Linked DNA regions of Oryzias latipes. The protein of the gene in region 2 purifies or fractionates together with the protein of the main gene of each other region. This does not show direct contact. Links are inferred from orthologs where the notes say so. Each region holds a gene or a part of one and is shown on either strand. Other genes may lie near its edges.

What was found. The genes of interacting proteins can lie anywhere in the genome.
Region 1: the proteins of sike1 (region 2) and strn purify together in Homo sapiens (affinity purification with mass spectrometry; 4 studies listed by BioGRID and IntAct, with this or other methods). This does not show direct contact. The link is inferred for Oryzias latipes from reciprocal best matches to the Homo sapiens genes SIKE1 and STRN.

The regions. Positions count from the first base shown.
Region 1 is NC_019873.2:28,037,006-28,041,185, reverse strand, and holds the start of strn (striatin), read left to right. Parts: upstream 1-1,271; 5' UTR 1,272-1,416; coding exon 1,417-1,629; intron 1,630-4,180. UniProt on the Homo sapiens protein: Calmodulin-binding scaffolding protein which is the center of the striatin-interacting phosphatase and kinase (STRIPAK) complexes.
Region 2 is NC_019865.2:1,582,175-1,586,469, forward strand, and holds the start of sike1 (suppressor of IKBKE 1), read left to right. Parts: upstream 1-1,405; 5' UTR 1,406-1,676; coding exon 1,677-1,835; intron 1,836-1,958; coding exon 1,959-2,064; intron 2,065-2,137; coding exon 2,138-2,280; intron 2,281-2,378; coding exon 2,379-2,492; intron 2,493-3,230; coding exon 3,231-3,338; 3' UTR 3,339-4,246; intron 4,247-4,295.

The DNA.
Region 1 (4,180 bases), on a different chromosome or scaffold from region 2:
TTCTTGGAGTCTAATGGTTGCAGAGGCGTTTCCTCCGTCATCTCTCTGCATCGTTCGTCCCAATGTTGTGGTTTACTGCATCTGTTGTTGCTTCTTTGATGGAGTTGCTTAACTCACTGCGTGGCCTTCCGGTCTACTCATTTGTAGTCTTGTAAATGGTTTTAAATTCTCTCTTGAACAGGTACTCAACTTTTTAAACTCCAATCGACATTCCTCCAACAAGACTGTAAAATGGAATTGAAATGTAGTCTCCATGTTGAGCCAGAAATGAGATTTTTATTAGAACTAACAGAGAAGCAAATGCATTGTATCCCTAAATATTTTTATCTTTTAATGCAGCTGCTAAATTGTTTTATTTTCCTTTTTGCTTGTAACTGATTTAAATGATTAAATTGTATTGCTAACCATATGTAAGCATCAAGTATGATAGTAACTTAGCAGATTTAGACGACTGTTAATAATTTGATGGATGTTAAATGTTGAGTTACTGTTTTCTTTTTGTTTTGCCAGGAAAATAAAAGGTAAATTTGGACATTTGTAAATAAACGTGAGGCTGGTGGTGTCAACTGGAGATCTTTTTAGCGCCTCTGCAGTGGCGTCTGTCTCAGGAGGCAGAGCTAATGACTCAGATGATTTGAGACAACACAATTTCCTTTATTATAACTTCATTTTTATTATATTTTAACGTCTAAGAAGACTAAATGAATTGCTTCAGCTTAAAATAATAAAAAAAAGGTTCATTTTTAGCAAAAGTGAAAGATTCTAGAATTTAAATTTAACAGCTTTCTGTAGAGCAACTTTTTTTTTAATGCCCATAAAATCTTTAAAGATTTAGATTTTTGATTGACTCTAAAAGCCTGGACAACAAAAAAAAAAGATTCTAGCAATAGTAGGTCAAAATTTGTGCAGTGAATATGTCTGTGGACTAAAATAATGCTCAAAGAATAATAAAAACTATATTTTATTTGTCATTTCTTTGGCTGTTTCTGTTTTAATTTATTTTGAACAGATTAAACAAATGTTGCTGCTCAATATAAAGCTATCCTTTGGTCACATGAATAGGAAATACAGAGGTGTATATTAGCATTTATTTATGATTAGTTTTATTAAAGATAATGACGTTTATTTAAATTGAACAGGATTTATTAAATGGGGTGGGGTGGGGGTATTAGTCTTTTGGGGGGACCCGGGCCCCTCCTGGGGCCGCCCCTGCGAGTGAATCAAACGATGCCAGCCAACACGTTGTGGGTGTGGCTCCGCGGTGACGTCACCCCGTGACAGCTAGCTGTCAGAAAGTGAGTTCATTCGCCTCACACGGCGGAGACACAGCGCTTTCGACACGGTTTTCGCCTTCTGTTGGTATCGAGCCCAGCAGGTCATCGAGACTGCAGCCCAACCGCTTCACCGAGCCCGGCCATGGATGAACAGGCAGGGCCCGGCGTGTTCTTCAACAACAATAACAACTCTGTTCTGCCGGGCGGAGGGAAAGGACCGCTGCCGGATGGCGACGCAGGGGAGGCGGCGAGAGCGCAGTACAGTATCCCGGGGATCTTGCACTTCCTGCAGCACGAATGGGCCCGTTTCGAAGTAGAAAGAGCTCAATGGGAGGTGGAACGAGCCGAATTGCAGGTAAATAAACCATAATGTTGCAAACACAACACAAACTTAAATATTTGTCGGATTTAGGTCATTTTTAGACGAAGTCGTGATGAGTTTCTGGCTTCGATTGTTCTGGTTAGCTGCTAGCTTTAGCATTGCTGCTAAAGGAGCTACAGCGCCAATCCGACGAGTGTTTGCGACCTTTTTACTCTGACTCATGCCCCCCTAACTCGTGTCCTACCTTTAGGGGCTCATATTCTGTCTTTATGTGCTGTCTTTACATTCACACGACGGAACTAACTAGCAGCTAAATGCTATTACATGTACTAGCAAAGTAGTTATTATTATGTAGGGCACAACAGATTGTGTAGCTACACGCTACACACTGCTACCTTCATTCCACGGCTAAATTCATAGCACCTCACCTACGTTATTCTTTAAATCATATATTTATATGTATAATTATATTTTCGTTTTTTATGCGATTTAAGGAAATATAAAGTTAGGGAGACGGTTTTTGCTTATATATCCAGGAGGAGTCACAGTTTTCGATTAGTAGAGGCTACGTCTCCCTGTTTGATATTAAAATAATTATCCGCTGTGTTTTTGTACTTTTAGCTGCTCTAAGTGTTAAAATAAGTATTGTTTTAAAAACCCGTTGGGTTTAAAGGTTAAACCTTTCACTCCAAGCAGATTTAATGCCATAAATATACAATGTTTTTGCTAAATTTATTATTGTTTTGATTAGGTTAATGTTGATTAAATGACGTCTTTTGTGGGATTGTATAATATATTTAAATATTATTCTATGTTTTATTATGATTATGCTTCCATTCGTCTTTTTCATTTTGGCTTAAAAAAAGGAAATCAAAGTCTGTGACTTTATATCTAACACAACTTTGTCTCGGTTTGCGTCACCAACATGCTTTTTTGTTTTTTAAAAACAGTTTTAATTGTAACAAATATATATATCTTGGGTTGTGTAATAATTTGTAGGCCAAGACTCATCTGAAAAAGAGATCTGCAATGGGCTTTCCTGGTTAAATAATGAATAAACTTTTTTTTTTAAATTCCTCATCTTCTAATCCGTTTGTTCCCTTTCGGGGTCACGGAGCTGCCAGGGGTCGCCAGTCTGTCGCAGGGCTACAATTACACACATTCACACCTAAGGACAAGTTACAGTAACAAATTAACACATGAAGTATGTTTTTGGACGGTGGGAGGAAGCCGGTAGAAAACCCACGCATGTCCCCTATTGGTGTTCTATCCTTGCTGTGAGAGCGCTAACCAGCCATGGATAAATGTAAAAAATAAAATACTTTTTTTTTAAATGATATGAGTGAGCAGCATTCAACTTCATGGACTCGGAGCCAAATTTCTAGCATGTTTGCAGGCAGCACTTCAGCTAAGAAAGCGATCAAAAATGAGGGGGGGGGGTGTCACTGGATTGTTGCTGCACTGGTGGTGATCTTCACCTCCATCGGGGTTGCCTGGACTCTGCACACCTTCAGTTTCAGTCTGTGGGGTAGATTACGTTGCATCTCTGATGTTTAGAGACAAGATGATGGGTTCTGATGCTTAAGCAGCCGCGACTTAACCACGGAGGGGAACGGAGGGGTTTTTTGTGTGTCGCTCCTTGGAAAGTGTCGAGTACCTGTATGTGTTTCATCCTTATAATTGGACAGTAGGCCTGCACAATAAATCGCATACAAGGTATTACAATTGGGCGGCTGGGTAGCTCGGTTGGTAAGGTGGGAAGCTACCACGCAGGATACCAGGGTTTGATTCCCGGACGGGAATGATCAATGGTACTGGGGGCAATAACCATAACATTAACATCAACAACACGCTACTGCCTCCCGAACGTGGCTTGGCTGCAGCTCACCGCTCCCCCAGGGGATGGGTCAAATGCAAATCCCACCTTCGAGGGAAAAATACAGTAATAAAATAGGAAAATATGTTTTTGGTTGTTTTGATATTTATTCATGTATTTCAAGTTATATCGTCATCGCAATATTGATCACTGATATCGTATATCGCGAGTTTTCCCTCATGTCATGCAGCCCTATTAGACAGGTTTATGTGGTTTGGCTTTTTGTGTCATGGTGATAGTGCAGCCACTCGAGCATGATTTACTCGTACAGTTTTGACTCTAATAACTATTATGTGGTTTATAGTTTAACATCAGAATAAGGGTTAAATGTAAAGATGGACTTGTAATCCCCTTCAAGGATAGTTTTAGTAGTTTTGCAAAGAACATGTTGGTTACTCGGAGAAGATTGGGCGGCACAGGTATGCAGAGGAAGATGCCTTCAAGCAAATGGTTTTAAATTGAAATGATCAAATGAACGCCCTCATAATCGGCCACAGATTGGCTCTTCATCGACACACATCTGTGGATTTCTTTTAAACATAAGAGCAGACAGGTAGAGCTGTTGCTGTTTGGGCGGAAAGTAAACCACAGTTCCTGTAGGAATGCGGCCCAGCCAGCTTGTTAGGTCATGTTTGAGGCCACTCGCTTTATTGGAGAAACTGTACGCGCCCAACCCAACTACTCCTGTCGCTGAGCCATTTCTAGGTA
Region 2 (4,295 bases):
CCCAAAGCTGTAATACCTCGAAATGGACATTTTTAAATATGAAGGGCCAGAACCTGAGCAACTAGTGAAAAGAGGAAAGGGCTAAGAGGACATCCCTGCCATATTCCTCTGTTTGTGTCAAATCTAGGAGTTGTGCCATGTGCAACTTTAATGGAGCTGTTGCATCCATTGTACAGACCCTCCATCACTTTTAAAAATCTTTTACCAAATCCAAATTCTTTTATAACTGGAGTCATAAAACTGTGACTAATTATGTCAAATGCCTCGTAAAAGTCAACAAATAAGATAAAACCATCATCTCTAATATGTTCATTATAATCAATCATTTCTACTATTAATCTGGGAGCCGGTTTAGCTCGTGTTTGCGGCGCCTTCTGTCCGTGAAACCAGGGTTCGACTCCAGGCTGCTCCCTGCTCCCTTCTCTACCTCTGTGCCGGTCCTAAGCCCAGTTTGAGAAGGTTGCGTCAGGAAGGGCATCCGGCATAAAAACGTTGCCAAATTTACCACGCCCTGTTTACCACGCGTTCGCTGTGGCGACCCCTGATGGGAGAAGCCGAAAGAGGAAGAAGATATCTAGTATTAATCTGATATTGTTGGCAATATTTCTACCAGGCATGAAAGCAGATCATTCTTCTTCAATAATGTTATCCAGTCCTGGTTTTAATCTTTTGGTAAAAATGAGAGCAAATATTTTAGCATCATTGTTTAACAGACTAATTGGTCTCCAGTTTTCTATGCATAATTTATCTTTTTGTGGTTTGGGGATGAGTTTGATGATGCCTTGTCTGAGAGTTGGGGGCAATATACCAATTTCTAACACTTCTTCAAATAAATTAGCTAGAAAAGAGGTTAATTTGGCAATAAAACATTTATAAAACTCACTTGTTAGTCCTTCATTTGCTGGACTTTTATTATCTTTAAGAGATTTACTACAATTTTCAACTTCCTCTGTTTTAATTTTCTGGTCACAAGACTTTTCAAAGGTTTCAATTACTTTTCCAATCTTTTCTTTAATATTGTTGATAAATAGTTCAATATCTTCTTCTCTAAAGCAAATTTTAGTGTAAGTTTCCTGATAGAATTTTGCAACATATTGAGAAACCTTTTTTGTATCTTCACTTATTGAATTACCAATTTTAATTTGACGCAGACAGGAAATTTCAAAATCTCTTTGTTCTCAGTTGAAAAAGTATTTAGTACATTTTTCACCTTGTTCTAACCATTTTCTTCTGGATCTAACAAAGGCTTCTCCTGCTTTTTCTTCATATACTTTATTCGATTCTGATTGCAAAGAAATTAGTACGTTTTGTTGTAGATTAATTCGTTTTCATTGATAATCATTATTTTTCCTTATCATTATTGTCTTTGAATGCATCATAAGAGGGGGCGGGGAAAACGCGGAAGTGACGTCATCATTGATCGCAGTGTATCGTCTGCTTGACGGATAGGTGGGGGTACTTTTAAAGCGTTTGTTTGCTGTTTTGACCGTTTTCTCCATACCGTGTGAAAACAGTGCAGGCGTTAGGCGGGAAAGTTCCCGCAAGGCTTGTGCTCGGAAGCGCCGCGGTTACGCGCCGAGCTCGAGCCAACTTAGTTGGAGGGAGTTTCGCTGGAACCGCGCTCGTGAAGCAGGGGCTCGATCGCGTCGCCCCGCGGACCTGACGCTTTCCAGTAAATGGCCTGCACTTTGGAGAAAGTGTTGGGCGACGCTCGGACCCTCCTCGAGAGGCTGAAGGAGCACGACACGGCCGCCGAGGGTCTGATCGAGCAGTCCGGGGCCCTCAGCCGCAGAGTGCAGGACATGAAGGAGGTGGGAAATGCCCTTCCGGAGAAGGTAAAGACTCGGCGGATGAGACGTTCAGGTGCTGGGCGGCCATAGCTGCTGAAAATACCAGTGGGATTTTTTAATGGATAACTTTTGCTAGTAAATAACATGTTAGTACATTTTGTTTGACAGCACTTGGAAGACAATGCAGAACTACGGGAGCTCACAAAGTACAAACCTCATGTTCTTCTGACCCAAGAAAACACTCAAATCAAGGATCTGCAGCAGGAGAACAAAGGTAGGATTCTGTTCGGGCGGTTTCCACGGTGGGTCGTGTTTGTTCTAACCCTCTGGGTGGACTTTCTCCTCAGAATTATGGCTGTCTCTTGAAGAACACCAGTACGCTCTGGAACTCATCATGGGTCGGTACCGCAAGCAGATGCTGCAGCTGATGATGGCAAAGAAGGAGCTGGACACCAAACCGGTTCTGAGCCTCCACCAGGATTACGCCAAAGTACAGCGTCTTTCACACCATCTTTGTGCAGCGTGACATCGTCTCTTTGAGGGCCGGCTTTGGGAGAAAACTCGTGGCGTTTTTACTTGTCTCTACAGGAAGTGCAGAACAAGGTGGAGCAGATATGCGAGATGGGTCAGGTGATGAGAAGAGCCGTTCAGGTGGACGATCAGCACTACTGCTCCGTTCGAGAGAGGCTGGCTCAGCTGGAGGTGAGTACCGACGATCGAGCCTCTTTCCCCAAGAGGTCAGAGGTCATTTCTTCCCCCTAAAGCAGTATTAAAAGCAGCAGAGGGGACGGAGGAGGGCCCACGAAAACCTTCACAACAGCAGACGTTTGTCACAAGAACCAAAGATCTGAGAAGGAACTCCTTTTGTTTTGGTCCATCCATCCATTTCACCTCCAGATCTGACTTCACTGCGTCACTTAAAACTTACAGAAACCTTTTTTTTTCTCTTAAAAACTTCCAGAGATAAAGTTGTAGCCTGAAGGTTTTGAACGAAATGTCTTTTTCTAAAAAACAGGAAGCTGTCCAGTAAAACATTCTAAAGATCACATATTTGTTTGATTCTTGCAGCTTTATTGCATAAATGTTCTTTTTTCCTATAAAATCATTTTATATACATTAAAAAAACTAAGAATGATGAAAACTGCTGTGTTTAGGCAACTCAGTCCCAGGTTGGCGTTTTTAACAAGACTTTGGTTTTTTTCAAATGTTCTATGTAAAATACTTTAATACAGAGAATGTAGGCATTTGTCTTTATTTCATACTCTTCTTTTATCTAGAACAACAAACAATATAGGCAGTACAACATTTTAATTGTGAAAGACGTGTAAATCTTATCACATGTACACATTTAAATCTTTTGTTTTAGTGAAGAAGAAAAGTAGTAGATGGAGTCCGTTGGGAGGAAAGTATTCAGTCTCTTGGTTTTTTTCTCTCTTTCAGATTGAGAACAAGGAGCTTCAGGACCTTTTGGTCATCAGCAAAGAAAGCATCAAAATGTCAAAAAAAGAAGAACCCCACCAGCCTGAAGCAGCAGAACCGACTTCATGAGCTCCATCGAGCTCTGCGTGTGAATTTATTCCCTCAAATGGATTTATTTATAGAAAGTCATACGGCATCTTTAATACAAAAAAAAGATCTATCATCTTGTCTGCAGCTAAGATAATAATTAAAGTGTTACTGTGGACGGCATTCAATTAGCTGTTCTTTGAGGTGTATTTATTAGATTCTAACACGTGCTGTCAAAGTAGATTTAAAGTATTTTTTTGCCAAAGATATATATTTAATCGTCATAGTTTTTTTGGACCCCTGATGTTCACACAATCTCTACTGCCTCCTATTAAAGCCAAGCACCGCTCTGTTTCACAACAGAGAGGACCTTTGGGGAAAACAAGCAGTTTATTCTGATTATATTTACCTGTTTGTTTGAATGAACAGAAGTTTGGTTTGTGCTGTTGCATTTTGTGCAGTAGGTGTTTTTTAATTTTTTTGTATGAATGAAAAACGTTCTGTTTTCATCTCAGGAATTCAGTTTAACTTCATGGTTTGGTGTAAAACAAAATCAAACGATAATAATAAAAGAAGTGTTTTTCCAAGGCATTTGAGGTGTTGTCCCTTCTTCGAACGCAGGGCGGCAGCATCGAGTCAACTTACTAAAAACCTATCGCGAGATCGGAAAAAGTACAGCGCAAACGCTTTTAGGCTATTAAAAACCTATCAAATCACCTTTTCACGCAACTTTCATAATTTCCATTAGTTTGGTTGTAACAATATTTGTCACATTTAAGTGACATTTTAAAAAGACAATCGTCAGAAAGCTCGGATTTCCCACAGAACCTAAACGCCGCATGAGCCCTATATTTGACAGTTGTCGTTTTAAGCTAACGGATCCAGAATGTCTGAAAGGGAACTGGGGAGGAAGCTGGACCGATGCCTGGCAGATGGTGTCATTAAACTGGGTAAATAGAGTCGTGTTTGTCCGGTTTTGTCAACCTGAAAACGAAAAAC